Astyanax mexicanus: one gene and its partners. Each later gene encodes a partner of the first gene's protein in a complex. Links are inferred from orthologs where the notes say so. Each region holds a gene or a part of one and is shown on either strand. Other genes may lie near its edges. The genes, in order: nuclear factor 7, brain-like; ube2e1; skp2.

What was found.
Region 2: the proteins of nuclear factor 7, brain-like (region 1) and ube2e1 are in contact, whole or in part, in a crystal structure (PDB 6FGA), measured with the Homo sapiens proteins. The link is inferred for Astyanax mexicanus from reciprocal best matches to the Homo sapiens genes TRIM21 and UBE2E1. Residues at the interface, in NP_003132.2 of Homo sapiens: Pro17, Ile18, Cys19, Leu20, Asp21, Glu38, Cys39, Gln42, Val43, Pro52, Arg55; in NP_003332.1 of Homo sapiens: Lys43, Lys50, Arg51, Lys54, Pro107, Phe108, Asn138, Trp139, Ser140, Pro141, Ala142, Thr144.
Region 3: nuclear factor 7, brain-like (region 1) and skp2 share a complex: the UniProt entries of both Homo sapiens proteins name them as parts of the SCF(SKP2)-like complex. The link is inferred for Astyanax mexicanus from reciprocal best matches to the Homo sapiens genes TRIM21 and SKP2.

What each region holds. Positions count from the first base shown.
Region 1 is NC_064415.1:5,421,439-5,432,312, reverse strand, and holds nuclear factor 7, brain-like, read left to right. Parts: upstream 1-6,425; 5' UTR 6,426-6,614; coding exon 6,615-7,202; intron 7,203-7,298; coding exon 7,299-7,394; intron 7,395-7,481; coding exon 7,482-7,715; intron 7,716-7,810; coding exon 7,811-7,958; intron 7,959-8,031; coding exon 8,032-8,058; intron 8,059-8,158; coding exon 8,159-8,706; 3' UTR 8,707-8,966; downstream 8,967-10,874. UniProt on the Homo sapiens protein: E3 ubiquitin-protein ligase whose activity is dependent on E2 enzymes, UBE2D1, UBE2D2, UBE2E1 and UBE2E2.
Region 2 is NC_064410.1:325,483-336,427, reverse strand, and holds the start of ube2e1 (ubiquitin-conjugating enzyme E2 E1), read right to left. Parts: upstream 5,494-10,945; 5' UTR 5,384-5,493; intron 4,392-5,383; exon of another isoform or gene 4,039-4,391; intron 3,514-4,038; 5' UTR 3,505-3,513; coding exon 3,344-3,504; intron 1,803-3,343; coding exon 1,752-1,802; intron 1-1,751. UniProt on the Homo sapiens protein: Accepts ubiquitin from the E1 complex and catalyzes its covalent attachment to other proteins. Catalyzes the covalent attachment of ISG15 to other proteins. Mediates the selective degradation of short-lived and abnormal proteins.
Region 3 is NC_064424.1:6,370,637-6,381,480, forward strand, and holds the start of skp2 (S-phase kinase-associated protein 2), read right to left. Parts: upstream 5,553-10,844; 5' UTR 5,498-5,552; coding exon 5,397-5,497; intron 3,103-5,396; coding exon 2,879-3,102; intron 2,591-2,878; coding exon 2,476-2,590; intron 2,008-2,475; coding exon 1,864-2,007; intron 1,773-1,863; coding exon 1,638-1,772; intron 445-1,637; coding exon 346-444; intron 214-345; coding exon 86-213; intron 1-85. Other genes in the region: G-protein coupled receptor-associated protein LMBRD2B, read left to right, coding at 9,053-9,226, 9,323-9,435, 10,221-10,319. UniProt on the Homo sapiens protein: Substrate recognition component of a SCF (SKP1-CUL1-F-box protein) E3 ubiquitin-protein ligase complex which mediates the ubiquitination and subsequent proteasomal degradation of target proteins involved in cell cycle progression, signal transduction and transcription.

The DNA of each region.
Region 1 (10,874 bases):
AACTCTTCAAAACTATCAATAAAACACCTTCTTACAAAGGATGAGTTCATTATTTATCTCTCAAAACTTTGATCATTTAGTTTAATTCCATTAAGAGATTTTTGGTGAAGTTCAGGCTCCACCTGCTGGTTAAAACATGGAGGTGCATCAACCCATCCTCATGAGGTGGTGGGCGTGGTCTCGTGACGTCACTGAGGAGAAACGAGAGTTAAGCGAAGCTGCTTGATAAACAGAATTGAGCTCCTTCTTTCAGCAGGACATAATCTCTCATTTGAAGCTCTTTCAGTCAGGTAAACTCCACAGGTAAACTCTGAAGGAGCAGAAACACCTGGACGAGGGAGAAGAAGTGAAGCTGGTAATGTATGGCGTCGTTTTACTGCCAATAGTCGAGAGCGAAGTTTTTGAATGTAAGAGTCTGTTTCATGCAGCGCTCACGGATTTTATTTGCTCACGTGTAAAATATAGGTGCGCTCTCACAAATTTACCATGCTCTCTCTCAGATTAACTCTCCTCTTGTACGAAACATCGCGCGCTCTCAGATATATCATTCTCGTGTACCATCTGTCTGCTCTTAATGTTTTGAGAGAGCGCGCGCACTTAACTTCCCCCTGTGTGCAGTTGGGGTTGGATCTTTGCCTGCCGGGAGACGGGCGGCAGTGGTGGGTCTGCGTGACGTCACCCGCCAGCCACTTTTTCATCGACCCGGCAGTGCCAGGCACGTACCCGGCAGTAATAAAAACTGTCAGGGGGCTTCCTGACAGTACGCCGGCAGTTTTAAAAACTGTCAGGTAGCTTCCTGACAGTACGCCGGCACTACTAAAAACTGTCAGGGAGCTTCCTGACAGTACGCCGGCAGTATTAAAAACTGCCAGGGAGCTTGCTGACAGTACGCCGGCACTACTAAAAACTGTCAGGGAGCTTCCTGACAGTACGCCGGCAGTATTAAAAACTGCCAGGGAGCTTGCTGACAGTACGCCGGCACTACTAAAAACTGTCAGGGAGCTTCCTGACAGTACGCCGGCAGTATTAAAAACTGCCAGGGAGCTTGCTGACAGTACGCCGGCACTACTAAAAACTGTCAGGGGGCTTCCTGACAGTACGCCGGCAGTTTTAAAAACTGTCAGGTAGCTTCCTGACAGTACGCCGGCACTACTAAAAACTGTCAGGGGGCTTCCTGACAGTATGCCGGCAGTTTTAAAAACTGTCAGGTAGCTTCCTGACAGTATGTCGGCACTACTAAAAACTGTCAGGGAGCTTCCTGACAGTACGCCGGCAGTATTAAAAACTGTCAGGGGGCTAGCTGACAGTACGCCGGCACTATTAAAAACTGTCAGGGAGCTTCCTGACAGTATGCCGGCACTACTAAAAACTGTCAGGGGGCTTGCTCACAGTACGCCGGCACTATTAAAAACTGTCAGGGAGCTTGCTGACAGTACGCCGGCAGTATTAAAAACTGCCAGGGAGCTTCCTGACAGTAAGGGGCTTTCTCACAGTACGCCGGCACTATTAAAAACTGTCAGGGAGCTTGCTGACAGTATGCCGGCAGTTTTAAAAACTGTCAGGTAGCTTCCTGACAGTATGCCGGCACTACTAAAAACTGTCAGGGAGCTTCCTGACAGTACGCCGGCAGTATTAAAAACTGCCAGGGAGCTTGCTGACAGTACGCCGGCACTACTAAAAACTGTCAGGGAGCTTCCTGACAGTACGCCGGCAGTATTAAAAACTGCCAGGGAGCTTGCTGACAGTACGCCGGCACTACTAAAAACTGTCAGGGGGCTTCCTGACAGTACGCCGGCAGTTTTAAAAACTGTCAGGTAGCTTCCTGACAGTACGCCGGCACTACTAAAAACTGTCAGGGGGCTTGCTCACAGTACGCCGGCACTATTAAAAACTGTCAGGGAGCTTGCTGACAGTATGCCGGCAGTTTTAAAAACTGTCAGGTAGCTTCCTGACAGTATGTCGGCACTACTAAAAACTGTCAGGGAGCTTCCTGACAGTACGCCGGCAGTATTAAAAACTGCCAGGGAGCTTGCTGACAGTACGCCGGCAGTATTAAAAACTGTCAGGGGGCTAGCTGACAGTACGCCGGCACTATTAAAAACTGTCAGGGAGCTTCCTGACAGTATGCCGGCACTACTAAAAACTGTCAGGGGGCTTGCTCACAGTACGCCGGCACTATTAAAAACTGTCAGGGAGCTTGCTGACAGTACGCCGGCAGTATTAAAAACTGCCAGGGAGCTTCCTGACAGTAAGGGGCTTTCTCACAGTACGCCGGCACTATTAAAAACTGTCAGGGAGCTTGCTGACAGTATGCCGGCAGTTTTAAAAACTGTCAGGTAGCTTCCTGACAGTATGCCGGCACTACTAAAAACTGTCAGGGAGCTTCCTGACAGTACGCCGGCAGTATTAAAAACTGCCAGGGAGCTTGCTGACAGTACGCCGGCACTACTAAAAACTGCCAGGGAGCTTCCTGACAGTACGCCGGCACTACTAAAAACTGCCAGGGAGCTTCCTGACAGTACGCCGGCACTACTAAAAACTGTCAGGGAGCTTCCTGACAGTACGCCGGCAGTATTAAAAACTGCCAGGGAGCTTGCTGACAGTACGCCGGCACTACTAAAAACTGCCAGGGAGCTTGCTGACAGTACGCCGGCACTACTAAAAACTGCCAGGGAGCTTGCTCACAGTACGCTGGCACTATTAAAAACTGTCAGGGAGCTTGCTGACAGTACACCGGCAGTATTAAAAACTGCCAGGGAGCTTGCTGACAGTACGCCGGCACTATTAAAAACTGTCAGGGAGCTTCCTGACAGTACGCCGGCAGTTTTAAAAACTGTCAGGGAGCTTGCTGACAGTGAGCCGGCAGTTTTAAAAACTGTCAGGGAGCTTCCTGACAGTACGCCGGCACTATTAAAAACTGTCAGGGAGCTTCCTGACAGTACGCCGGCAGTTTTAAAAACTGTCAGGGAGCCTGCTGACATTACGCCGGCAGTTTTAAAAACTGGACTCTTTCATATGGGAGTGGACCTGTTTTGGCATTATGGAAAAATCATGAGAAATTTAATTTTAAGCATGAATAATAAAAATAAATAAATAATATAAAATAAACAATACAGTGAATTTTTCCCAAACTTGCAGGAGTCATAGCCTAGGACAGACTCTTTCAAATTGTAGAGATCATGAGATCATGAGAAATTTAATTTTAAACATGAATAAAATAATAATAATAATATAAAATAAACAATACAGTGAAATTTGCCAAAACTTGCAGAGGTGATAGCCTATGTTTTGGCATCAAATGCTAACAGTGGAACTGTTTTGGCATTATGGGAAAATCATGAGAAATTAAATTTTAAGCATAAAAAATTAATAAATTAATATAAAATAAACAATACAGTGAAATTTGCCCAAAATTGCAGGAGTCAAAGCCTAGGACAGACTCTTTCAAATGGTAATGGAACTGTGTTGGCATTATGGGAAAATCATGAGAAATGTCATTTTAAGCATAAAAAAAAAAAAAAAAAAAAAATTATATAAAATAAACAAAACAGTGAAATTTGCCCAAATTTGCAGGAGTCATAGCCTAGGATGGACTCTTTCAAATGGTAGTGGACCTGGTTTGGCATTATGGGAAAATCACAAGAAATTTAATTTTAAATATGCATATACTATATATATATGTTTATATCTATATATTTTTGTAATTAATATAAAATAAACAAAACTGTGAAATTTGCCCAAACTCACAGGAGTCATGGCCTAGGACATACTCTTTCAAATGGTAGTGGACCTGGTTTGGCATTATGGGAAAATCACAAGAAATTTAATTTTAAATATGCATATACTATATATATATGTTTATATCTATATATTTTTGTAATTAATATAAAATAAACAAAACAGTGAAATTTGCCCAAACTCGCAGGAGTCATAGCATAGGTTCTTTCAAATGGTAGTGGATCTATTTTGGCATTATGGGAAAATCATGAGAAATTTAATTTTAAACATGAATAAAAAAAACAATAATAATAATAATAATAATAATAATAATAATAATAATATAAAATAAAAAATACAGTGAAATTTGCCCAAACTTGCAGAGGTGACAGCCTATGTTGTACTCTTTCAAATGGTAGTGGACCAGTTTTGGCATTATGGGAAAATCATGAAAAATTTAATTTTAAACACGCATACACTTTTTTTATTAATATAAAATAAACCATACAGTAAAAATTGCCCACACTTGCAGAAGTGATAGTCTATGATGGACTCTTTTACAAGGTACTGGATCTGTTTTGGTTTTTTGGGAAACTCATGAGAAATTTTAATTTGAAGCATGGATTGAAAAAAGTAATATTAATATAAAACTCTCTCTCTCTTAAACACTGATGGGATATTATATCAAATAGATAATGTACTGCACAAAATATACAGTGAGGTGAGTTATTTTAATCCGTTTTTTCTCGTTTCTGGGCTTAATGTATGTCTGAATTAATATAATAGACTGAAACGTGTCGGTCTCCCGTTCTCTGTGTTTTTTAAGCGTGCTCTCCGCCTGCGCGGCTGTTTACCGTAAAATCGCACGTATACGCGCATCAAAATTTAAAGCGCGGATGACTTGACTGAGAATTTCCGAAGCGCGGATAGCTTGACTCCGGTCTTACTGTCAGCTAGCCCCCTGACGGTTTTTAATAGTGCCGCCGTACTGTCAGGAAGCTACCTGACAGTTTTTAGTAGTGCCGGCGTACTGTCAGGAAGCTACCTGACAGTTTTTAAAACTGCCGGCGTACTGTCAGCAAGCCCCCTGTCAGTTTTTAGTACTGCCGGGTACGTGCCTGGCACTGCCGGGTCGATGAAAAAGTGTCTGGCGGGTGACGTCACGAAGACCCACCACTGCCGCCCGTCTCCCGTCAGGCAGAGATCCAACCCCCTCTCCCTGTGTGCTCGCGGAGCGATTTTTACTGCAACAAAGCTGCCAAAAGTCTCCAGCCAATCAGAAGTGGCAAAAGGATTTGACCAGTTAAATAGACCGCTGAGGTCGTGCGTCATTCTGTAGTTCTCGTATGGCTTATAAGTGTCTGAAAGTTCTCAAAAACTCGCCTCTATCACATTCTGTGGTAAATAAATCTGTTCAGAACTCTGTACGTTTTATTCTGTGTACATTTTCCTCCTATACATCACTAGATCCTCTGAATTATGAGATCGTTTAAGAGTTGTAATGAGAAAAAATGCTAGCTTTAAGCTAACGCTTATCTGTGGCAGGAAATGCCAGAGTACTCGATTCTGCAGTACACCAGCGAACTCCGGTCGGATCGCGTTTTGCACTATTCTTCTTCTTCACAGAGGATCATTAAAGTATTTAAACAGGTGAAAACTCTATCAGTATGGTGATGTTGAGCAGTGTAGTCTGTGTTAGAGCTTTAAAAGGCAGATAATAAGAGAAAGTGGTTCTCAGTTCAGGAGCAGCGCTTCCCTGCGGGTTTAGTATTTAATTACGGTCATTAGTTTATACTAATTACATACTAAACACATGACTCAAATTATCAACTAACAACTAATCAACTAACTAACTGCCCTCACTGAGGCGAGCTGTGTGTTACAGCAGTAAAACTAGCAGGACAGAGTTACTCCAGAACCACAGAGCTAACCCAGCTAACTGAAGAACTACAGAGTCTAAAACACTTGTCCTGTAAAACATGTAGAATGGCTTAATGTGAGTTTTTTTTCCACTGAAAGACATTATAAGGATGAATCTTAACGTGGCTTAATGTACTGAAACAACGAGCCAGAAAGACCAAACATTGAGATTTATTTCACCAAATAAAAAAAAGGTAAATGGTAAAACGTGCTACAGTGTTTAAAGCTGGTTTTGGAGTAACTCTTTATTGCTGGGTTAGTTTTTTTTTTTTGCTGTGACACAACCAGCTCTCCTCACAGAGGTCAGTTAGTTCATTAGTTGGATCAGCTGTGTTTAATATACTGTAAACATACTGCCGGAGTTTGCTGGTGTTGTGCCGAAAAGAGTCCCCTGCTGATCTCTGCAGCTGCGCTTGGATGTGAGTTCTGTGTGCTGTAGCATTAGCTCAAAGCTAGATATATGATATATCCCAGATATGATATATCTGAGAGTGCGTGTGATGTTTCGTACAAGAGGAGAGTTAATCTGAGAGAGAGCATGGTAAATTTGTGAGAGCGCACCTATATTTTACACGTGAGCAAATAAAATCTGTGAGCGCTGCATGAAACAGACTCTTACATTCAAAAACTTCGCTCTCGACTATTGGCAGTAAAATATGATGCCATAGTAATGTCTCTTAATCTTCCTCCTGTTTCTGCTTCCTTCTGTTCAGCTAATTTTTTTACATTCACTGCTCTTCTACGTGTTTAAACTGCTGTAAGACGCTCACTTCTTTTCTCCAGCTCAAGCTGTTCACTTTAGTTCAGTCCCAGAGTTCAGCTTTAACAGCTGGAATGTGGAGATGATCAGCAGCTGGATGGGTTTGATGGTGAAAAGTGTGAAATTGTTTTCATTCACTGACTAAGAATTATTCTGAAATGATCTCTGTGCTCTCAGATCACCTTCATGCTGCTTCTCTGTGTCTCCTCAGTCAGTCATGGCTTCCTCCAGCAGTCTCCTGTCTGAAGATCAGCTCCAGTGCTCTATCTGTCTGGATGTGTTCACTGATCCAGTCTCTACTCCATGTGGACACAACTTCTGCATGGTCTGTCTCAGAAAGTGCTGGAACAGCAGCTCACACTGCCAGTGTCCAGTCTGTAAAGAAGAATTCTCCAAAAGGCCTGAGCTCCGTGTGAACACCTTCATCTCTGGACTGGCTTCTGAGTTTAAGAAGTCAGTTCAGGAGAAGTCCAGCAGAGCTCCAGAGAAATGTACCTCCAAATCTAAGAAGGTGCTGTGTGTCTATTGTAGTGAGGAGAAGCTGGAGGCTGTAAAGTCCTGTCTGGACTGTGGCGTTTCTTTCTGTGACACTCATCTGATGCCTCATAAAACTACACCCAAATATAAGAAACACAAGCTGATGGATCCTGTGGAGAACCTGGAGGACTACATCTGCCAGAAACATGAGAGACCCCTGGAGCTGTTCTGTAGAGACGACCAGACGTGTGTGTGTCAGTTCTGTACTGAGGGAGACCACCGGACTCACAGTACTGTTCCTATAGAGGAGGAGAGTGGAGAGAAGAAGGTGAGAGATGTTTAGACAGAGAGTTATTAACACTAATTTTACTATTCTCCTATTTTTCCTAAGAATAACTGATCATAATGTGTCTCTTTATCACAGACTCAGCTGGAGAAGACACAGGCAGAAGTTCAGCAGATGATCCAGGAGCGACTGAAGAAGATCCAGGAGATCAAACACTCTGTAGAACTCAATAAAGTGAGATTCTATAGCGTTTAAACTCATTTTAAATATGAAAGCTGCTCTTTAAACAGTGTTATTGTTCTTATTGTTGTCTCCTTTTAGAAAATCAGAGAGAAGGAGAAAGCAGACAGTGTGGAGATCTTCAGGGCTCTGGTGCGCTGCATTGAGAGAAGCCAGGCTGAGCTGCTGGAGGTGATGGAGGAGAAGCAGAAAGCAGCAGAGAGGCAGGCTGAAGAGCTGATTAAAGAGCTGGAGCAGGAAATCACTGAGCTAAAGAGGAGAGACACTGAGCTGGAGCAGATCTCCCACACTGAGGACCACCTCCACCTCCTACAGGTCAGAGTCCCTCTGTTTCTCAATAGTAATGCAGTCCATCACAGGACAGCACTGCCCATGCTGAGGGGTTTCTCCTCTCTCCTGCTGTACTGTAGATTTACCCGTCCCTCTGCAGACCCCCACACACCAAGAACTGGACTGACGTCAGTGTTAACACTCCTCTGAGTGTGGAGAGTCTGAGGAGAGCTCTGTCTCAGCTTCAGGAACATCTCACACAGGAGATGGAGAAGATTGGTAAGAGTGGTAAGTGTTTACTGTTCAGGTTTTTAATAAACCTGAATTTAGAATCTAATAGTCTTTATTCTTTTTCAAACAGAACTGAAGAGAATTCAGCAGTATGCAGGTGGGTGGGGCTTTCACTGATCACATGATTCAGTCTGTATGATTCTCTATTTCTTACAGTATGTTGATTAAAATGGGTTTAAACTGTGTTTCTCTCTCAGTGGACGTGACTCTGGATCCTGATACAGCAAATCCTTTTCTCATCCTGTCTGATGATGAAAAACAAGTTAAACTTGGAGACAAACAACAGAATCTCCCTGATAATCCAGAGAGATTTGATCCTTGTGTCTGTGTTCTGGGAAAGGAGGGTTTCTCCTCAGGAAGATTTTACTATGAGGTTCAGGTCAGTGGGAAGACTAAGTGGACATTAGGAGTGACCAGAGAGTCCAGCAACAGGAAGGGAAGGATTATACTGAGTCCTGAGAATGGATACTGGACTGTGTGGTTGAGGAATGAAACTGAATATAAAGCTCTGGAATCTCCTCGTGTCCTCCTCTGGTTAAATCAGGCTCCCCAGAAGGTGGGGGTGTTTGTGGATTATGAGGAGGGTCTGGTCTCCTTCTATGATGTTGAGGTCAGATCTCATATCTACTCTTTCACTGGTCAGTCTTTCACTGAGAAACTCTATCCATACTTCAGTCCTGAGCTCAATGATGGAGGTAAAAATTCAGCTCCACTGATCATCACTCCTGTTCAACATTATAAATGAGCTTTATTGTTTATTTACTCGATCAGAATCTAATTTGTTGAGTCAGAACAAAAAATCTGATTGTAGATTAAAAGTAGATTTTGGGTAACAAAAGCTAGTTTCTGTTTAACAAATTAATATCTAAATAAAATCTTAACAATTTCTACACAAAGATTCTCTTTATATCTGTTTAAAAGATAATTTTCTGTTAAGTTTTTGTTCATAATGGTGGTAGTTTTCCCCTTTTATTTTCTGTATTAAATCATTCCTGAATAAACTGTGAGATCTGCAGGTCTGTGGTGTTTTATTATATTTTATATGTTTAATGAATCTACATGTTTTTTAGATGTTTAATGATTACTGCATGTGTTTATTCAGTATTAAAATATACAGATTCAATATAATTAAACTTACTTTTAGTTAATATCTTAATATCTTATTTAATTATTTACTTATTTTTAGTTAGTATTTAGTTTACTTTTTGTACAATGTCTTAGTTAGTGGTATTTTTTACTATCTACCTTTTTATTCTTGTTATTGTTAAGTACTAATTAGCTATATCTCTGGTCTTCTTTACTCCATAGGATCTTCTAACCAGTAAAGTCTGGATCTCAGATTTAGCAGAAGTTCAGTACACACTGTGTTTCAGCTCAGATTCAGTATTAAACACACAAAAAACCCAAAACACCCCAAAATCGGTTGTACAATAGTTGTGTTTACTGCTTTGTGCTGTTTTATTTGGCTGAGGTTAATTTTGTGCTCATTTTTACTCTTAAATATGAAGACTGTTCATACGGTTGTTTGAGTGACACCATAGAGGAACAGCTTTTGGTGCTGATAAAAAAACATTTAAAATTAGTTTAAAATATATTAACATTTATTTACATAGTGTGCACTGATTACTGATTTTAATATAAACGTTCATGTATGAGGTATCAGAAAAAAACAGCTGTACTCAATAACATAGCTGTACTTAAAACATTGTCTTTATTTTACACTATATAGTTATTTTATCATTCAGAAGTTTAAGTTCAAATTAATGCAGTAATGCCTTTTAAAATATTCTAATATTTGCTGTGGTAAAAGTACAGCACTCTATTTATGTGATAATAATTGCATAACTGTGATGAGAATGATTTAATACAGTATTTTATAAGGACTGTGATTAAATGTACTGTATGCTAGAGTTTAAAAAATATGAATATAAATATATAAATATAAAAAAAATATCAGGCAAAAATATCCAGCCCGTTCCAACCCGACCCATAAACTGTCATTATGAGCCTGAGCCCGATTTAAACTCCACATTTTTTTTAGTAAGTAAATTGTTAAAACTGAGCTTTTTAAATAATTTTCAGGCTGTTTCAATAATATAAATCTGTTCAGAATAATGTTAATTAACATTGCAACACTGAAGAAGCATAGATCTATTATTTAATAAAAATGTTTATTAAGAACAGATACACACAGTGCTGCAAGTCAAGTGCGTAATGCAACAAATAGAGGATCTCACGTGTGCGTGAGACCCAGAGCTGTGTGATTATAACATTCTAACTAGTGCAACTTTTTTATTTAAAGCACAGTTTGATTTGTTACTTTGCTATATTGTGATTATCACTCCATATCTTTATATTAAATAAAAATAGAATTAAAAACACACAATTACCTCACAGATCATTTTCTTGGGTATCGGGTCGGGCAGAGAATCTAAACTCTACTGTATTCGTACTGTAAAGTTTACTACAGTAGATAATCACCGTCAGCAGGTTCCTGAAGGTTGTGATGATGCTCCAGTGCAGTGCAGTAATCACCAGTAGATGATAGGAGGACGCTGTGCTGTGATGCTGAATCTGCTGTTGAGTTTGGTGATGAATGTATTAGTTGGTGATTAATGTATGAAGTGGCGGAACGTTGTGAGCGGTTCAGTTGGGGGTTTGGGTATTGATTATTGATCATCACTCAGGTTTAGGATCATCAGACTCTTTGTCGTCCTTCTTTATCTCTTTTCAGGTCTCTATCTCTCTTTCTCTCTTTATCTCTCTCTCTCCTGCAGATCAGACTTGATGATTTCAGATCTTCAGCTTCTTCCCCTATACAGTTCCTTCAGCTCAGAGTTGCCAGGTTTGCGGTTTTCCCGCCAAATTTGGCTTGTTTGAAAATCAAGTCGCGGGTAAAAAATCAGGGGTGGT
Region 2 (10,945 bases), on another chromosome or scaffold:
AACTTTATGTACACGATCTAGAATCACATTTAAAAGGGATTTAAGAGTCATAGGTTGAAGACTATAACTATTGAAGACTTTTACAGCTAACGCTGAAGAAACAAATGCGTACGTTAGAGAAAAATTCTATATAATTATTTATAAACATACATTATACTGTCATGTGATGCATGAGAACACACAAAGAGGAGTCAGATGATTGTGGGGAGAGGAATTATTCACAAATAACTATTAAAGAGAGCATTAAATCCCCTGGATTTTAAACATTAAAAACAGAAATATTGAGTATTTATCTATGCGCAAAGCACTTTATGCTATTGGCAAGACCACTTCCCTTCCAAGGCACCTTCTGCCCAATCAAGAAAACACATTCAAAAGTGATTTAAGACTCATTTGGAGAGATCATATTTGAGTCACATTTAAGGCTGAGATTGAGATTACTCATATCTGCTGTTAAATAATAATAAATAATGCTGGGTGAGAATATATATTACTGTTTGTATCTGTATCTTTATCAACTATGCCAGTAATCCCATTCACATATCAAATACATACCCAACATGGAGAGAGAAAAAAAAAAAAAAAGGGATTATGCCCTTTCTGGATTGGATGTACAACATGAATCACCCAGTCAGTCAATGCTAATCTGTACTTTTACTGTAGAAGAGTAGAAAAACTAACTTTACAAACATGTCCATGAAAGGCTACACTAAATAAGTAAACAACCTCAGGACAAGACAAGAAATACAACTCAAAAATAAAAGGACAATTACTGTCACTTGCTCTCATGTTCGTTTGGTGATGTATTTTGGGTTTGGGTTCCATCGACTTCAAGATAAAACACACTGCAGCTCTCTAGGAAGGGCAGCATGCTGTGCCTGACCAGACCCCGGGAAAACAGGAAACACATGGAACTTCTAAACAGCTCTTTTAGCTCACGGTATAATTCAGGGCGGGAACAAACGCAGGAAGTCGTTTCGGGGAGCAAGAAGTCTGCTTTTTCTCCGCTAATCACCGCCAAGCGGAGCTAGCAAGCTCATCACAGCCTTCAGGTGAACCAAAAGATGATTGTGTAGTATCTCTTAGGCTGCAATACGTTAAAATTAGCCTATGCTGTCTTCAAGTCCTCTTTAGAAACTCCTACTTATGAGGTAAGAGGTCGTAATTACGACTTAATATGCGTTCAGATGTGTATTGGTCGGATGGAAATGGACGCCATAAGGAAAGTCCTTTTGTTTATATTTTTGGTATATTATCATAAAAAACAGGAGGTTTATTTGCCCTACTTCTAGAAAATAAAGCAAATAGGACTCTCGTTAGGTGAGTGATAGTTTTTTTACTATCCCATTAGAACCGTGAATCATATCAGACTTTTACGATTTTTCATGTATTGCTAGTGATTTTATTAGTTAGCTAAAAACAACCTGCAGTGAAGTGTTGAAGCGTAAGAAGTTAATAATAAGAACTGTCTACATCAATTTCACTTGGTTACTGACACGCCCCCAACTGGGAAACTCTTATATTAAAGGGGCTTATCTAAAAATCTGTGTTTTCCACCGTTAAATTCACTATGCGTTTGTGGTAGAGTGTATGTGCTTTCTCAAAAATATACATGATATTTCCAACACGACTTTAAGGCAGCATTACTCTGACAAAAACACTTCTGATCTCAATCTTATAGGCTCAAAAACGCACATCAACAGCAACAACCCACAGATAAATACAATTCACAAAAAACCAAACAGACTGACCTGCAATTTGGTGGAGGATCCAACATGATATCAGCCAATTCCTTCTGAATTCTGAAACAAAACAGCAACGATAAAAGATCATGTAAGTGTTTTGAAGTATGATCAAAAAACAATCACAAAATTGTATTAAAATGCCTTTTCTTTCCCAGCTCAGGCCACCTCAAAGCAGTGGGAGCAGCCACAGAGGAACATCTGGAGAAACACTTGGACAAACACTTAGACAAAGAACTGGCCCTTCTTTCTACTCTACTTTCATGCGAGTGATCTCCTGCACGGGTGGTCTGTCTGCATTTGTATAGAGTGAGAAGTGAGAGTTCAAGTGCAATTGGCACACAATACCTCGCCTAATTAAAACCTACTTAACAGAAATGAATGGGTCAGCCAAACATTTCAGGTTTCCCCCCCTTACAAGAAAACCTCAAACAAATTCAAAAACTTTCTTTTTTAGTAAAAATCTTTATTTGATTTTTATTTTTTTAATCACTGAATGTTATAGATAGCATCAGTTTCATCAGTTTAACATCAAGTCATTCAAACAGATTATTCAACTGAATTACAAATGCATTAAATCAAAGGTGTGAGATATGGGATGCACACAATATGATATATTAAGATATAGGTCACAATATATATTTACTGTTCCTGATATCTGATAAGAAGCAATTGACAAAGGGATATGCACTATCTGAGAACTTATAAAATAAATCAATTAAATTAAATAAACAGGCCTAAATAAAACCATGTGTAAAATGTGTAGTTAAATAGTGTTCTCTATACACAATAACAATACTTTTTGCTCATATACTTTGAATCACCTACTTATCCAACTCCACGTTCTACAGTGCACCTATGCTGCTACAGTATATTCTACATAAAGATGTCTGTCATAACTTAAATACCATGCACGCCTGACTTTCCGCAGATGTTAATGATCTTCCCATAGCTACCTATATCGAACTGAATGTGAATCAGCTGATTGATGTCTTCTGCACTTTGTCTTGTTGTTTTTTTGTTATTTGCAAGGTGTGTGTAAATATGTAAAGCATTTGTAATTAGGTGTAACATTATTTATTCAGAGTACACAACATCCTGTGTTCTTCAGCTACACTCCTTCATCCACACTTCCTCATAGAAAGCAAAAGAGCAACTATACATCCATTTACAGCTCTGGAACAAAATGAGAGCACTTCAGTTTCTGTATCAGTTTCTCTGATTTTGCTATTTATATGTTTATGTTTGAGTAAAATGAACATTGCTGTTTTTCTCTATATATAACTACGGACATGCATCATCCTCTTGATTATATTCCAGAGGTTTTCAATGAAATGAGGGGTGAAATCAAAGAAACTCATCATTTTCAGGTGGTCTCTTATTTTTTTCCAGAGCTGCATATATCTCCCGATGTTCACGAAAGATAGAAAGATAGAAAAATTGATAGATTAAGATACTTACATTGCCCAGCCATAACTGTTAGTTAGTTAACTTAGTTAACTAGGACACCTAACCTACCCTAGGTTATTTATTATTTAGGTTAATGTTAATGTTAGTCAGTCACCCATGATCAGAGAGGAGAGACAGACAGCAGGTCTCACCTCTTGGCGCTGGTGGAGAGGAGTTTGGAGGTCTTGCTCATGTTGGCTTTGCTCTCTCGCTTCTTGCTAGGTGTGTCTTTCTCCGCTTGCTGGTGAGCAGCTGAGGAGGAGGAGGAGGATGAAGAGGAGCTGGAGCTGGCACGCGAATCCTCATCCGACATGCTACCGACCTCAAAAGAGAGGAGGAGGAGGACAAAAGGAAACGTGTAAAGCACACCTTAAAATAAAGAGCGAGGAGAAATTATAACAACAATAATAATAACGACAATAACAATAACGATAATAATAATAATAATAATAATAATAATAATAATAATAATAATAATAACCTATCTAGTTAAAGAGCAGAGAGAACAATGTGTGAGGGTGACCTTTAACTGGCTGTTAAAGCCTGGCTATTCTAACCTAGCTAACTCCTCACTCTCACAAACACTAACAGCTAGTTAGCCAACAAGCTAACCAAGCTAACTAACTAGCCTTCACGTAGCTAAGCTAGCTAACTTAACTAGCTCAGGTTAGTTAATGGTTAGCTAACGTTGGCTAACTACGCTAGTTAAATCTAGTTAGATAACAACAACATGTTAAGCTAGATATCAGAGCTAGCCGAATAAACGCTGAAAGATTTCGACCTCCTACTCCTCCTTATCGATAGTGATTTAAAATTATTTAACGTTAAGTTACTGCTCATTTCATACCCCGGCAGCCTGAGGGGAGATTAGCCCGCTGACCTCGATGTTTGCGCCGATAGCGTAACAGTCAGCTAGTTAGCGTTAACCGCGGCTAGGCTCGCTGACGACGTCGCGTTTTGAGAAAAATAATAATAAATAAATAAAAACAAACAACAGTTTTAACGACTGTGGGGAAAAAAATCGTGAAGCGCGTTAGCCTGGTTAGCTTAGAGTGTTAGCTGGTTATAGCTAGCTAACTGACTAAAGCAAGATCATTACGATGGAACCAACAAGCTTAGCCTAGTTAGCTTGGCTAAGTTAGCTTAGCGTTAGCTGGGCTAAAAACGGTGAGAACTGAGAAGCCATCCGAGTGTGTGTGTGTGTGTGTGTGTGTGTGTGTAGAGAGAGAGAGAGAGAGAGAGAGAGAGAGAGAGAGAGAGAGAGAGAGAGAGAGAGAGAGAGAGAGAGAGAGAGAGAGAGAGAGAGAGAGAGAGAGAGAGAGAGAGAGAGAGAGAGAGAGAGAGAGAGAGAGAGAGAGAGAGAGAGAGAGAGAGAGAGAGAGAGAGAGAGAGAGAGAGAGAGAAAGAGTGTGAGAGTGTATACAGAGTGTATAGTGTGTGTATAAAAAGAGAAATATTGAGTGTATAGACAGAGTGTATGTCTTTAGAGAGAGAAAGAGTGTGAGTGTATAGAGAGAGTGATTGTATAGTGTTTATATAGATAGATAAATTGTGTAAGTGTATATAGAGTGTATGTGTATAGAGAGAAAGTGTGAGTGTACAGTGTGTGTATAGAGAAAGAAAGAAAAAATGTGTGCGAGTGTATAGTGTGTATATATAGAGAGAATGTGTGTGTGTGTAAAGATTAAAAGTGTGTGTTTATAGAGTGTGTGTGTGTGAGTGTGTGTATAGAGAGTGTGTGTTAGAGGAGGAGGAGGAGGTGGGGGGCTGAAAAATGGACGGGGCTGGTTAGCTGGCGCCGCCGCAGCAGAAGCAGAATCAGCCGCCGCGCTGTGCACCGATCTCCCCGGTTCTTCTCTCTTATCTCGCCTCGACTTCGACAAACTTCTACTGTAAAACAAAGATCAGCCTCTTTTCCAGCTTCTAAGCTCAACAAAACCAACTTTAAACCGTCGAACAGCCGCTTAATTCCCGTTTAAGCGCCCCGTGTGTCAGTCAGTCAGCCAGCCAGCCGACCTCCCTCCTCTCAGTCCAGCCCCGCCGCCGCTCTCTCTTTCTCTCTCCCCCTCTTTTCTCTCTCCTCTCCGCGGATTAAACCTTTCCCCCGCCGCACCGACACCCGCAAAACCCGCCCGGCCCCCTTATCTACCGCGCCGCCGGTAAAAACTCCGCGGCAGTGGATCCCCGGGTACCTTTCTTTGTGTCTGCGTGTCGAGCCCTTCTCTTCCCCGTCGCCTGTGGACGCGCGTGGCTTTGGCCTCTCGCGCAGCGGAAGTGCTCGTGCAGCAGTGCAGCGGAGCCGCGCGCCCGCCCGCCCGCGTTCACCGGTAATCTCAACAAACTAACGGTGTGAATAAAGAGACCCCGCGAGCGGGCCGACCAGCCAGACTAACGCATCAGCTTTTACCTGACTTATTTATAAATAACTGCATTATTATTATTATTATTATTATTATTATTATTATTATTATTATTATTATTATTATTATTATTATTATTAAAAAAGGAGTTTCAATCAAAAAAGTTTTTTACATTTTCTATAATTTTTACTTTTTCCAATGATTTCTGCCCCTCACAATAAGAATTAAAAAAATTACTTGCTCAATTTTACTTCTTTTGTTTATTTTAGTGCAATTCTTGTCAATCACTTAACTACCAACTACCAACTCCAATGGTATAAAATGATGAAATGATTTTAAAATCCAAATGAAACTGTTCCAGTCATCTAGTTGTTAGTCGTTACCGACCACTTTTGCCGTTTTTGAATTATTTTTTACTATAATATTCCTGAATTCCTGGAACTTCTAAATTGGAATTTCAATATGCCCATTAAAGCGTACTGTCAATATGATAAGAAAACTCTGTCCACTGCATGAAAATATGTGACGTTTTATCTATGGTTTGAAGTGTTTGATAATAAAACATTTTGCCAAGCGATTTATCTTATAAGCCATCTAGTCATCTATCAAGTTTGAAGAGAAAAAAAATGTGTGAACACAAAGTGTGAGCTGAAACTCACCATTTATTGAAAGCTGTGAGCTCTTGATTTCAGCTGTCTTAGTAGTTTAGTCTGAATAGAGAAATGGCAGCAAAAATGTATTAGATAAGATAGAAAAATAAAAAGTAGATTTTTGTTAATAATTACAGATTAAAAATGTAATGTTCGCTTCTATTCAATACAGTAGACGCCATATATGTAAACTAGTTTAGTCCTGTTTTGAATGTAGTGTTGTTGGGATGTCTAAAACCAATATATTTACATATATTTGCTTCTGTACTATAAATTCATACAGTGTAGCCCCACCTATTAACTAACAGGGCATATTTAAACAGGGCCCATACAGTGTGATTGTAGCCAATCAGAACAGAATCCATTTACATAAATCTTTACATTCATTCTAATCATGAAGACAATTCTAAGGGATGAAGAATCTACACAAATCTATATACAAATGACCTAAGTGTACACTGAGATAAGATAAAGATAATATATATGTATATATAAAGATAAATGTGTAGTTTATACTTATTCACTCTGAGTGATTGAATGATTGGCTGAAGGGGGAGGAGGTGTTTTGGGTTCAAGAATTGCCTCATTTACCCACATTTACACCACTGATCTAAAGACACCCCACCTCCCCTCCCCCATCACAGCAGTTTGCATTTGTAACAGGATGGGTTTCAATGGGTTTCCACTCTCACACACACACTTCCTGTCTGTCTCACTGTCTGTTTGCATTATGTATGATTGTAGGCCGAATGCTGGGCTGGGTGGCTGCAGACGATGAGACGCAGCCTGTTTACGGCCACAGCAAAGACCATCTGGCTCATTCAAACACCTGGAAAAGACGCAATCCTTTAGTCAATGCTTTAAGTAGCACCAACGTGGTGAAACGCAATTAGCCAGCTGTTTATGTCAAGATAATTATCTGGTTGCATCCATAAGCAACAGTTCTGGTCACGGTTCAGGTAATGTGATCATTTGGAGAGGCCAACATCATGCAAATAATCAGATCTTTTATTTAACATTTGACTTTGCGATGTGCCACAGAATAGCCATGTTTGTAATACAACCCTCCAATAGTAAGAAAGAAAGAGAGTAATAGAGTATTACTTTATTTATATCATATTTACTTCTTTAATTTAATAGTAGCCAGTTTATTCCCAATAATTCATGGTTTGTTTCGTCATCTACAGGACTCTCCTTCCACTTCTTCCATTGCCATGTCTTTGTAACGTGTGCAGCATGTGGTTTGGCATTGTGTTGTTGAAAATGGATTAATTAATTTCTGCCATCATAGAAGTAAACTGACACAAGATAAAGAAGTACTGCATTATTACCATTTTTCACTGCATAACTCTTTTCTAATTCTTTTGAACCTTGAAATAGGTAAGGAACATCTACATTGGGTAAAAGCTCCTTAGACTCTAAAAGGCTTTTTACATATCTCTATTACAAACTTTTGGTGTTTTTTTTGTTTGTGAAACTATAGGTGGTTCTTCTATGGCATCACTCAAATTTAACCTATTTGAATAATCTCTAATTTTTATTTTCTACTAAATCAGTGTAAGGCTAATTCTTTACCATTCTTCTCAATTCTTCTCTGTTATTGACAGGCGGGGCTGCAAATTGACCATTGACCCCTGAATGCTCACTGCTTTTGTTGGAGTAGAGAGCTGTCTGGATCTTTCCATAACAGCTATAAATTTACAGTTGGCAGATTATAAGTGATGGCCCATCGTTTCTGTCTGGGGGTGGGGGGCTGCTCTACTGTTTCTCCTCTTCTTTTAATGTATTTCTTTCTGAAGGCCTTATTTCTCTATGGTAGCAGTTTGGGAAAACCACCATCAGAATCATTTTCTGGATTTAGAATTTGTTCAGTGAGTAAATAAATATCACTGTTGGTTTCTAAGAGCGCTGAGCAGTGGGAGTCCTTTCATGCAGCGTCTTCTTCTACCACTCGATCTCCTCTTTCTCGGAAGCAGAAAGAAAACAGTCAAAGCCCTTAAAAAGTGCTGTAGGGGAAGTGAGAAACATCGTTTTATCTCTGAGTTTCTGCTCAGCACAGGCTTTAGGCTGCTGTACACTACATTTGTCGTTGAATAGGCTCGAGTCTTTTGTTGGGGGGTTACAGTTCAATCGGTATATAGAGGAGACAGTTGAGTGTTGTAACGCCACCAGTTACCCTCGCAGGACATTATAGCAACAAGGATGCCTGAGTATCAGAGTTTTAGGCGCTCACCACTCTCCTGTGCTAACAAAAGAGTTTACACAGTTTTGTGTGAAACGCTGACTGTGAAAAACTTCTAGTAGAGATCAAGATTGCATATATAGGGTCAGTTTTCTATACAGGGATTAAGTTTAGTTGCAGTCCAAGACTAGGCTCAATCACTGTCCAGGGATTTCACACTTAAAGTTTAAAAGGCCAATAAGATCAACTTAAATGTTACTTGCTTTAATTTTCTGAAATATATGAATGACACAAGCAGAAAGAAAATGTTTAAAAATGCAATTTATTTATAAGTGAGTTTTTTTTTTTGGGGGGGGGAGGGGGGTTCTATGGAAATGCATGACCAATTTTAATTCATTTAATTAAACTAAATCATGCTTGCCTTTAAATTCTGTAATTCTGAAGGTACAACTCCTATTTTTATTTTTCTATTTATAAGATGGAAAGCTTTGGATTTTGGTCAGTTCTCATTGGTCCCCATTGGTTTCATCTGTCCACAAAAGTCAGGCTTTTTTAATCTACATTTTTACAAACTTTTTACAATCTTACCGTTCTGTTTTTGTGGTCCATGTCTTGCATTGTTGTCGCTGTATTTCTATATTTGTCTGTAAGTCTTTTACAAATTGTGTAAAATCCACACACTTTATTTTGACACTCCTGATGTTTGGTCGATCTCTCGAATGTTTTTCTCCTTTTTTCAGTTTCATAATAAATTATTTTCACAGCTCTTGTTCTTCTATATTCAGCTTTGCGCTGGGTATGGTCTCCATCAGCTGATCCGCGGCTGTTCCTGAGTGTCCCAGTCTTTTGGGAATGAATATTTACAGAGGTTTCACATGCTGTGTGCATGCACAATTGGAAAAGTGTCAGCAGTGGGTGAACTTTCTTCTACTTAAAGGGGTTTCCATAATCAATCTTGACATGCAGCGTATGAACAATACTTGAATTCAGAGCGTAAGTGTGTCACATGCAAAGACTGAGGTCACTGGAGTTACTTTTCCGAAATTTTACATTCACAGCTGTACGGAAAATATTAGCAAACCTCAAACTCTCACAGAGGAGCCTTTTTTTCACAGCACTGGGAGTCTGAGAGGTTAGTAGTGTGGTAAAATAAAACAAAAAAAACAACAGTCACTTTCTAAAGGAAAATCCTGTGATAAACAGGAAAGCGTCGCTCTCGGTCGGGGAAACGTTAACGCAGAGAAACCACACAGAAACCAAGCAAACCACCACTCAGCTCAACACCTCATTTATTCACTCAGTTGTTTAACAGTTGAGTATCGACTGAGTTTTCCCTCACAATGTGCATTTAACAACAAACAGCCAATGGCGGCACGTGGCGAGCAGCAGGCCCACTGATATACTGAACTGGTACAGGGCTTCTCAAGATAAACAGGCCAGTGCCGTAGTGTTCCACATAAACAACACGGAGAAATCTGGGGAGAAATCTGGACTTAAAACACCAATCAGAAATAAAAAATCCACTTTAATGGAGAAAAAGAAGAGGAGATTCAGTGATGAGCGCCTGGTCTTCAGCTCGAGTGTCGTCTTCCCAGAGGAGAAGAAAGGCCAGAAGATCCAGAAGAGAAACCATAGAGTGCAGTTCACCCTCTTCTCAATAATAAAGCAGATTATATTCCATCATTAAACACATTAAAAAAACATTACAAATAATAATAAAGCTTTTGATGACCATGCCAACATTCAGCGCACTGGAAAAAAGTACAATCCTGATCTGCTCTTAGTATACATTTACTGTATAAAAAAGCCTTCAAGTCAACAAGAAAAAACAAAGGACAGTTCATTGTTTAGGGACGGGGAGGGGGATGGGCGGGGGAACATCATCTGGGAACATCTGGGAACGTCTGGATCCAGGGCCGGGTGTGCTTTCTTTTAGGGATGCAGGAGGCACAGCAGTACAGGAGGGTTGGGTGGTTTATGTGGCGTAGCGTTTGGTCCACTGTTTGGCTATCCTGTCGTGTTCTGCTCTGTTGGTCAGGTACTGTGTGGCGATGCTTCCCACCAGAGGATCGGCTGTGAGGAGAGAGACACGAGAAGAGAGAGAGCACCACAGGCTCTTAGAGATAGAGATAGCTCACACAACACACACAAATACAGCCCCTAAAAAGATGCAAACTTAAACAAAAATCAATTTTGTCGAACAGTGTGCAGACAGTTTAAACGTTAGATATTTCAACTGTGGTTGGTGTGGCACAGTGGATAACACCACTACCTGCCCGTTGGAGGGAGAATGGGGTTCAATAATTCCAGGTCTGGGTGACTACAGAATGCTGATCTACACCAATACCCCAAAGTCCCAGGGCAAGACTCCCAACACTCCTAACACTACATTGGTCCACTGGCCCAAAGCCATCGGCTCTTTAATAGGAATAACCTTGAGTCAGATAAATGCTGTAAATGTAATGTAAATGTCAATAACTTGAATTTATTAATACTTATTAATACATCCATTAATGCAGTGCAGATTTGCAACAGATTCCAAAAAAGTTGGAAGTGGTTTTA
Region 3 (10,844 bases), on another chromosome or scaffold:
GACCTCATGGCGAAATCAATTGATATGCGTACATTAGAACATTTAATTGTACAAGCCTACTAGGTCAAAATGAACTGTTTCTTACCGTCCATGGTCATCTTTTGCCTGTAGCCGCTGATGTTGAGTTGAGTGACGTTTGGTGAAATGTTGTTAGAAATAGCCTGAACATGCTCACTACTGAAGTCACACCACGACACATTCAGCTCCTGAAGCCTGGATTAAACAAAACAGTCAAATAATGAAACAGTGCTATGCATGTATCCAAAGTTAAATTCTATAGACATATTCATGTATAAATAAAAAGGTTTATGGGAAGGGGACTCGTGGTCCAGCCTCAGGCCTTACTGAGTGCAGGACTGAAGCATCTCTGCCAGAGAGTCAGGAGAAAAACCAGCACTGCCACACAAGTTCAGCCGAATCAGCTCTGTATTCTGAGCCAAATACCTGCAAAAGAGATTAGGATATAAAAACAGTGTTAGACTAATAAAATTAATGATACTGATCATTCTAATATAGTTACCCTATGACTTTTTATTTACTACCAGTACTTTAAAATCATCCGACACCAGGCGCCGCGTTTATCACAAATCACAGAATCCCTCAACACATCAGTAAAAACTGTATACATCACTAGAAAGAGCTCCTATTGTTTCTAAACATTGCAGCACCATCATTGCTCTTTGTTGAGGATTTGAACTTAATTCATTGAAGAAAAAAAAAAAAAAAAAAAACACATTTTTTACCTCCATGTTCGGTCTTATACTATTCCATTAATCTCTGATGTTTTAAGTTTTGGCCTTATTATCTTTTTAGTATCTGTATTGTTATATATGTAGGCAGGTATCGTGTTGAAAGTCATAATTTCTCAACAAGTCAAAAATCTAAACATGCCATAATAATAAAATGTTCAATGGGTGTCTATTTTTAATTTTAAAGTTTATTTTAACTTTATTTTTTTTGGTCAAAACAAAAACATAAAATGAATTTTTGGGCAAATTTATATATCTTATCTGCTACTAATTATTTCTAAATAATCTCAGTTGGCAAGTATGTGGTGCAATGTTTTTTTGTTTCACATTAAATGCAGCACAACATACAATTTGATACATAAGATACAATGTCTAATGTAATATTGTTGTAATAATGTAACAAATGTCCTGTGATGTGATTATTACGCTTATACACGATGGCAATGCTTAAATATAGTGTGCAGCAAAACTGGGGTCGTCTAACCCCAATTCCTACTGTTTTTCCAAGCCTATACATTACTGTCTATTCTAACTAAAATCTGTGTACCTTAAAATAGTCCCCATCTGAGCCATACATAATAATACCATTGGTCCTGCTTAGTTCAGTCTAACTAATTTAAATCTGTAAACTAACTTGCGAATAAAATTTGGAAACTGCAAAATGCAATGCATAAAAAAAAAAAAGTATTTACTGGATTTGGCCTTCTTAAGACCTTAGGGGACAAATTTAAGATATTCTACAAATTAAGACCCATTAATATAAAACAAATTAAGGATTAAGACTTAATGGATCTGCAGATACCCTGTACCATACACACGGTTACATTCTACACAGCAACCTTAATACAATTTAAACAGGCAACAGTATATTGTTGTAAGTTAACATACTGGAGGATTTTGTCTGAAAGTTCAAGGCCCTCAAGACTGAGATTCTGTAGCCGTCTGCAGCGGGACAAAATGTCCTCCAGGACAGACGTCTGTACGGTGCAGCCGGACAAGTCCATATGATTTACACGGAGAGGTCTGAAACATACATGTGATTTTAGTTTTAGTAAAACAGAATAAAAGAGTAACGTTGAAACTATAGGCTTTAATACAGTGGCTCATCACTTACTCTGTATTTTTAAAACTGGGTTGACCAATGCACACATGTGGACAGCGCAGCCTCAGGACTCCAGCACTCAACACCTGGCCAAGCTCTGCATCCAGCTGAGCTTTCCCCACCAAATCCACACTGCGCCACAAGAACTCATCAAATCTGAAAATTAAACAAACAATGGAATCGGTGGATTAATCATTACGATATTAGTGTAAGAGAACCAAAGGTCCTGATTGGAGCCTAAAATGTAAAGCTAGTCAGTCATGCAGGTCAAATGATAAATACAGTAAAATATTAGACCTCCATGGTTGCATGAAAGATATTTTACAATATAATGAAAATGCCTTGTCATTAATACTTAAATAATAGTTTTTGTTTTTTAAACATAATACATAAATGCACTAGTATTCTATTATCATATTCTGTAAAATAAATCATGGTTTTATCAGCTTAAGTTGAGAAATGAATGCTAGCTCGCAGGACACCCGTTTATTTCAGAAATTTCTTTCATTCTGAAATAAAAGGGTGTCCTTTACTCACCTGTCTGTGTCTGTGTGTGTGCTGTGTTGATGTATATATTTATATTTTTCTTACTAATAAGCACAAAAACTGGAGGGAACAACTTACGCCACTCTATGCCAGCGTTTACACACACGGGAGGTCCGGAGAAGGTCCTGCAGCGAGAGGCGTGAAAGGATCCCCAGCAGGAGCTCATCTGGGAGACTGTCCCAGGATAGACCGGCTGCAGGAGGGAGAAAGTATGTTTGTGAACAGACTGAGTTTTTAAGGAAATGTATAGTATCTATAGTTTAATAAATGTAAAAAAAGAATATAACTTTTTGTTAGCATACAGTTAGTTGAAAGCTAAAGTAAAAGAAAAATAAATGTTACACTTGGTTCTAAAGTTGTGTATACATTTAACTGTAAATCAGTGTTAAAATACCAGCAGGGAGATCTCCCTCAAATGATTATTGACTAAGCACACATGTAATAACATTGGATATAAAGGTATATAACACAATATCAATACCTGTTGATTCCCTGCTCTTTCGAGGACGTCTGGCCAACACAAAAGCGTTCTCCTTGCCCTTGCCGCAGAGCCGAGGCTGTTTGCGAGGGGGTGAAAGGTGCTGGATGAATTCATGCGGGGTGTTTTCTTCACCGTAGCGCAGCCTTTGCTTCTTTTTCGTCTGAGACATGCACAGCAGGGATCCCTCCAAATTCTCATTCAGACATGGAAGCTCTTGAAGCGGCCTGCAAATCAGGGTGGTTTGTTAAGAGTCAATAGCTAAACAGTAATTAATTAATAAGCATGAGAAAATATTTTTAAATCTATATTTTGTTTATATCATGCCCTCCAAACTCTGCTTCCTGTGTGTATGGCTCTTTCAAAATTGCTTCAAAAATGATAGAAAGTGCAAAAGTGGGACTTACAGGCCTTGTAAATAAATGCCCAGAAGACAGTGGAAAATGTAAAATCTTCTCGTATTTAGTTAGTAAATATTAGGGCTGGGCGATATTGCCAAAAGGTATTTCTGAATTTTGGCCAATGCAATATAATTCCACTATCAATATAAACAATATAAAAGCTACCGCCTGTGTCCTACTGTATGTCATCATTAACTGTGCCAATAGTGTTGTAATTAAGAAAGCTAGAACCAAGTCCGAATTAAGACCAGAACCAAGAGCGTCTGAGACTGAAAGCAGACCAAGTTATTGATTTATTAAAAAATAAAATGTTTAATTTTCCAATTTAACAAAATTGTATTTTTATATAATAATACTTTTTTAAATATCTTGTATCTTCCTTTATATTCATTTTCTTGCATATATATATATATATATATAGATATTTTATATATTGTTTGTATGTATATGTCCTTATACTTCCTCTGTTCTGTTCTTTGAGCTGCTGTAAAATTGCAAAAAAAAAAAACTTTCAGACCTGAAATATCTCCAGTGATGGAAAAAAAAATCTATTTAGCACAGATTTTATATAAATCTTTTTTTTCGTTTCATAACCAATTCCTAAACAGTAAAAAAAACAATTAAAACGCTTTCCAACTCACATTAGATTAGTAAGTTGTCTTTTAGTAACTTGTTCATTTGCCATTCAAGGTTCACAGTCTATTCTGATAGCTATCAAATAGTGTTATGTGCAATAAAACGTTTAAAAATAAAGAAAATACATGATGTATATTGTAATGGCTGCAGAATCTGAAAGGGTCAAAAAGCATTACCTAATTTTTTATTGAAATGAACAGTTGTATCATTATTTTTAGGCACTGAATTTTATTTATATGTTTTAAGCATAATCAATAGGATATTAAGATTTTATAATATGATAATATCGCCATATTGCCCTGACCTTTAATTATGTAATCTGTTATCAGTTTTGGTGCCCAGGCTAAGTGTGAACTTAGTGAGTGAGTAGCCCTGAAACCCTCCCCCTACTGTGGGTTTCTGTCCACAGGTTTCTATCTAGTTAACGATTAGTCCACACTGAAATTTGTTAGGTAAAGTCATTAATAATCAACAATATCGATTATGTTAATCAACTCTTGCAGCCCAAATCATTTATTTAAGCTAACATTAACGACACTGAGCAGCCAACTGTGCTCAGTGTAGTTGTTTGTCAAGCAATAACGCACATTAAACATATAAATAACCTAAATTAAAACAGCTATCAAGCTATAAAACATACATGTAACAAAAAACAAGTGTCAAATATACTATAAAACATATATGCCTTAATTTATTGAGCTTTAAAGTGAAAATTAGGCGGAGTTTGAAACTTTTTTCAGAGTTGTTTTGGTGCCCGCCAGAACTACAGTTTGGCTCCCTCTGATCGCGCCATCTCAACAATAGAACACCAAAAAAGAGCTCAAAATGATAGAAAATCACAGAAATAAGTATCATAACGATTAACATTTTTATATACAGACATGATACGATAGTTAAACGAATAATATTTTTCTTATTTTTAAGTTTAAAGCCTTTAAAAGCCAAGGCGCGCCAGAAGTGCTGGAAAGGAGGGAGCTAAAGCTAGGTTAGCTTAGCCATAATAGCTAGCAGTCAGCTCAGTTCCCTCTATTTAACTTTTAAGCTAAATAACTTATATAACTTAGCTTTAGAGATATATAAAGCTTTGTAATAGTTAGGATAGGACAATAATATGTTATCTAGAGCAAATATTGTTTTAAACACACAGGATTTAACCTAACTAGCTAAACAGAGCATTACTGAAGCTCATGTGTAAGTTATAAGTTTAGCTAGCTTAGCTTAGTTAACTGTTAGTACTTGTATTAGATACGTTTTCTAGATAACTTGTACAGTTAACTAACTTACTGATCACATTGCTGGATACATATTTAATTGGCTACGAAAGACACTACACTAAAGAGTTAGATAACTAGTTAGTATGAATTATTAAGGGGTTATCTACATTATAACCAAACACTAAAACTACTCTATCTACTAACCCAGTATTAATATAAGTTATTCCACAACCAGGCACTTCTGCAGTCCATAAACAGTGCTATACTCACCTATCCACTGCCATCTCACTCTCTAGTCCGTGTTTAAATTGTTTTATATGTGTTTCCGCAGTAAATCTCTCAGATCTGCTGCTCAGTACTGATCTCTGCATTGCTGTGCTCTCTGTCTGCAGCCGCCACCGTTTAAACGCGCAGCTCCACCGCCACCCAGACTGAGCTCAGAGCGGAGCAGCGCACAGACTGTCGCCGCCCTGCTGGACCGGAGAAATATTACACTGACTCACTCAGACCAGGGCTGACTGAACAGACAGACAAGTAGACAGACAGACAGGTAGATTCAATGTGTTTTGTTTATTTTTATCTTTTTTTTACATTGTAAATTTAATATTGAAGACAATATTAACGCTATACAGGAAACATCTAAGAAGCACGTTTATCTTTGAGGACGGATCTGCAAACTCTTGGTATTTTAATCTGTGTCTTCATAAGAATAGTTTTGAAATTTTATGTCTACATTTTATGTTTATGTCTAAAATATTATGGCTAAGTAAATCAGCGTCTTGAAGGAATGGGTGTTCAAACCACGAATAAACTACAAATTATAAATAATAATAATTTTAAGTCTTTCATATTAATCTACAATGTAGAAAATAATAAAAATAAAGAACAAATATTAATAAGAATGGGTGTCCAAATATTTTACTAGTGCTGTAGATAGATTTAATTCATTCTATTAATCCAAATAATTAAATTTAATTCACTGAATTTTCATATTTGCTGATCTCCAAGTCATCGTAGCCCACATCCAGCCGTGTATGTTGCATACAAAGCGACACTATCAGTGCGCATGCGTGAAGATGCCGAATGCCGTCCCGCTTGCTTCCCTAGAGTTGTTCTGGTCGCTGGGTGAAAATAATCTCTAATAGAAAAGAGAATTCCCACTCAGACGCTCTGCTCTGGAAGTAGTAGTTAGCTAGTACATGACACAATATTGTACTTCTACTTTCAGTACTTAAGTAGTACATTTTAGAATAAATACTTGCTGTACGTAAATACAAAACATTTTTATTATTTTAGTACATGTACTTCTAATTGTGGAGCGACTTTTTTATGATAGAGCACTTTTATTTTTTAGCACACACTGGAAAAATAAAGAATTGCAAAAAAAAAAGAAAAATATTTTTTGAATTTTATCTTTGACTATATATATTTTTTGTTAGTTTTACACTAGGTTTTTAAAGCTCTTACAATCGCCTACAAGGTGATGACAGAACAGGCTCCTTCCTACCTGCACTGATCACTCCTAAAGGCTTACGCTACCTCCCGGCTGCTGCGCTCCTCCAATGAACGTCGCCTAGCTTTACCAAACAAACATTCACACAAAGCAATCCAGACTGTTCTCATACAGAGTTCCCCAATGGTGGAACAAACTACCTTCCACTACCAGATCAGGCGAATCTCTCACTATCTTTAATAAACTCCTGAAGACAGAGCTCTTCGAAGAGCACTTACTCTCTTAACACCTCTAACAAACTACCTTCTACTACCAGATCAGGAGAATCTCTCACTATCTTTAATAAACTCCTGAAGACAGCTCTCTTCAAAGAGCACTTACCCTCTTAACACCTCTAACAAACTAACAACTTCTAACCTCATTTCCTTCTTCCCCTCCTTCACTCCTCTATCCCATTATTCCCCTTTGACCTCCTTTAGGCCTTATATTAAGTTGTTTTACCTTCTACTATTTCTGTTCTTCACTACAAAAGCGTCTGCCAAATGTAATGTAATGTAATGTAACTAGGTTTATTTATATTTGTATTAATTATATTACCACTATATGTATAATTATATTATACTGTATGTCATATTATATATTTTTTTCCTTTTGTTCACTTGCATATTTCCTTGTTTTCACCTTTTCAATATTGTATTGGTTGTGCTTTATGTTTTAAAAGCAAACTACATAAAATATACTAAAAAGCTCTATTCACCCTATTCATTTTAGTCTCTTTCTCGGGCTCTCCCTGGCGGTGTACAGTGGTTTTCTGCTTTAGCGGCGGAGGCGGTGAGTGGGCGGTCTCGGGGTAAAGCAGCTGTGGCCGGGGGATGTGTGTGTGATTTTGGGGCAGGCAGAGTAATGGCTGTAGCTCGAACAGCTTTATTTAGTGGGCAGTTTTCAGTATTGGCGGTGTGGAAGTGGAGAACAGCGGCTCTGTGAGCGGTCTGTGTATCTTTCAGCGCGTTAGACAGGTAGGAAAAGCCTGTATATCGGGGTTTAGCTTCTAACGGACGGTAACTGTTAGCTGTGCTGGGTTTGTTGTTAGCTAACCTAGCAGAGCTGTAGTTAAAGCTAGCAGCAACGGCGGATGCGCGTAAACACACAGTCTGACAAGTCGCTTATTATTGGTAATATGATCAGTATATTAATAAATATTAGAGTCAATAAAAGGTTATATATACAAACCATTAGTTTAGAAGTTAAACTGAATTGTTGGTGTTTAATGTTGATGTTTGTGCTTCTATGTTGAAGCTAATATTTTGATTTTACGGCCCCAACCCCCTCCTCCCTCAGCTCAAGTTTGAAATATTCTAAAAGAAAGGGAGGGGTAGTGTGGGAGGGGCACTAGGTGATGTATGGGTTTAGGGGCGGGGCCGAAGTTAGAGCAGATTGAGCTGAGCAGTGTGCCTCTGATAAAAGTGAAGCCCTTCTATCAGAGTTGGACAGCCGGAGCTGCGATTGGTCTGCCGGGCCTCGCGTCCCCTCCCACTAGTGCTGGACAATTATGGCCTAATAAAAATCTTCCATTTTTTTTAACAAAAAATCCAATTTTCGTCTAGAAACCGGTTTTCTCCATCCTTCTAAAAATCAAACTACAAATAAACAAAGAAATGGTTCAAAACTAGGTTTACCTGTAAAAAAATAAGGTGAGCTATGATGCTGCAGTTTTTAGAAACAGATTTATTTCTAGCTAAATATGTGCTTTTTTCCACCGGGTGTTTGTGTTGAAAGTGCTGGAACTTTAAAAAATTATGCATTTGTTAGTCTGTGGGAGTCACAAAGTAAGACAGATAAGCACTAAACAAATAAGTAACAGTTTTGGATATTTCAGATTAAAAAGATAAAATATCTGTATGTAAATTCGTGATTACTCCGTTTTGAAAAACGCATTAAAACTGTAATTCGAATAATCAAAATTAAGCATGAATCTCACCCAGGACTACCATCCACACATTCCCTCCTTTGCAGTTTAAACTGCAGAGCGACACAGAGCCACTAATATGCGCACGCAGAAGTGTAAAACAGAAATAACAGAAATATGATCCCATAATCCAACCAAATGTGTTACTAAATGCAAAAATGAAAGAATCAGAAAATCAAGTATAGATACAAAATAATAATATGAAACTCTGTGTCTGACCCACGATTCAGAATAATTTGATTTCTTCTTGTAATCTTGCTCTAGTGAATAAAAACAAAAAGGTCTTTCAGATTGGTAAAGGGGACACTAGCTTTTGTCTGAGGCCGGTGTTTTGTATTCTAATTGTAATTAGTTTGTGGAAGGCCTTTGCTGTGCTTAGCTCTTGCTCCATGTAATAGTGTTTTAGAGTCTTTAGTGTCTTGCTATTCTTATTCTGTCTAACATGTTTTTTCCTCTCTGCCTGTTCTGCACAGTTTTCATTAGTCTGGAGGACTGCAGCAGGGGAGAATGAGTGGAGCTGCGCTGGGAATAGAGATAGTCGTGGTCTTTTTCCTGGCTTTGTTCCTGCTGCATCGTTATGGAGACTTCAAAAAGCAGCAGCGCATGGTGCTCTTTGGCACACTGCTGGCCTGGTATTTGTGCTTTCTCATTGTCTTCATTCTCCCGCTGGACGTCAGCACGGTTCGTTTAGTCTGATATTTGGAAATTACATAATTATTCTATGATTTTTAAATGCATTGCAGCTTAATTCATATTTGTGTTTAATATGTATTCCAGACAATATACAAACAGTGCGTGATTGATCATGAGGAACATGCTCAGTCACCATCTGTGGGCCCAGGAATCTCCAACCAGACAACAGGAAATGCGACTGTCACGCCCACTGCTAGGTTGGTCTACTTTCTGTGTTATTTCTATTGTGCTGTAAAGAGGCTCATGAATAATAGACTAGGAATAGCTACTGTCTTTATTACAGGTACATTAGTGTGTCCTTTGTTTGTTTCTATATATACAGCTCTGAGAGAAAATAAGAGACAACTTTTTATTCTATAAACTACGGACATCACGTCTCCCAAATTAGAAATAAAAAAAATGTCATTTAGAGCATTTATTTGCAGAAAATGAGAAATGGCTGAAATAACAAAAAAGATGCAGAGCTTTCAGACCTCAAATAATGCAAAGAAAACAAGTTCATATTCATAAAGTTGTAAGAGTTTAGAAATCAATATTTGGTGAAATAACCCTGGTTTAAAATCACAGTTTTCATGCTTCTTGGCATCATGTTCTCCACAAGTCTTACACACTGCTTTTGAATAACTTTATGCCTTTACTCCTGGTGCAAAAATTCAAGCAGTTCAGCTTAGTTTGATGGCTTGTGATCATCCAGCTTCATCTTGATTGTAGTCCAGACGTATTCAATTTGGTAAAATCAAAGAAACTCATAATTTTTAAGTGGTCTCTTATTTTTTATTTAAAATATTATTTGTCCCCTTTTTACAAGAGCAGTTTGATCATTGAACCAATTACAATTGTCCAAAATGACAAAACATGCTCAGTATATTTGAATCTTCATGTTTAGAAAGTAAAAAGTGCTATAAAAATAAACTGCATGTACTAAAGATTTAGCTATATTCATAACAGTCATCAATTAATGTACTTGTTTTTTCTTTAATAGCATTCCGAAGGCTTGTTACAAACCATGGAGCTACATTCCCAATGGGATCATGCCTGTGTTCTGGAGGGTTGTGTACTGGACCTCACAGTGTCTTACATGGTGAGAAAGCAATGCAATGCAATTTCCTCAAATCTTACCTCATGATCTTCTTCAGTGTAGTATAGATTATGATCTTTTGCATTTTAATTTTTATTTACAGTATATTTATGGGTGTTTTACCACAGAATGATTAAAATAAGTTTAATAAATTTAGGCATGTGTATTAAGCTATATAAATTTCACTTCTGCACCTTTGACTTTTTTAAACAGCCATGCAAAACCAAATTGATAACATTTATTGTTAATATCAGTAAGACATGGTCACATGGCCTGCTGTCCTGCTGTATTATAAGCTTTTGCCCTTTCCTATGAAGTGTTTACCTGTTTTGCTGTAATGTTTTTCACAATGCACCAGAAGTCTTTTATGGCATTTAGCTGATGCTCTTGTCCAGAGCGACTTTCAAGGTTATTCGTATTACGGAGGTGGGCCAATGAAGTGTTAGGAGTCTTGCCCAAGGACGCTTATTGGTGCAGAGCAGCAAAGTCACCCAGATTGGGAATTGAACCACATGATGTGGTAGTTCA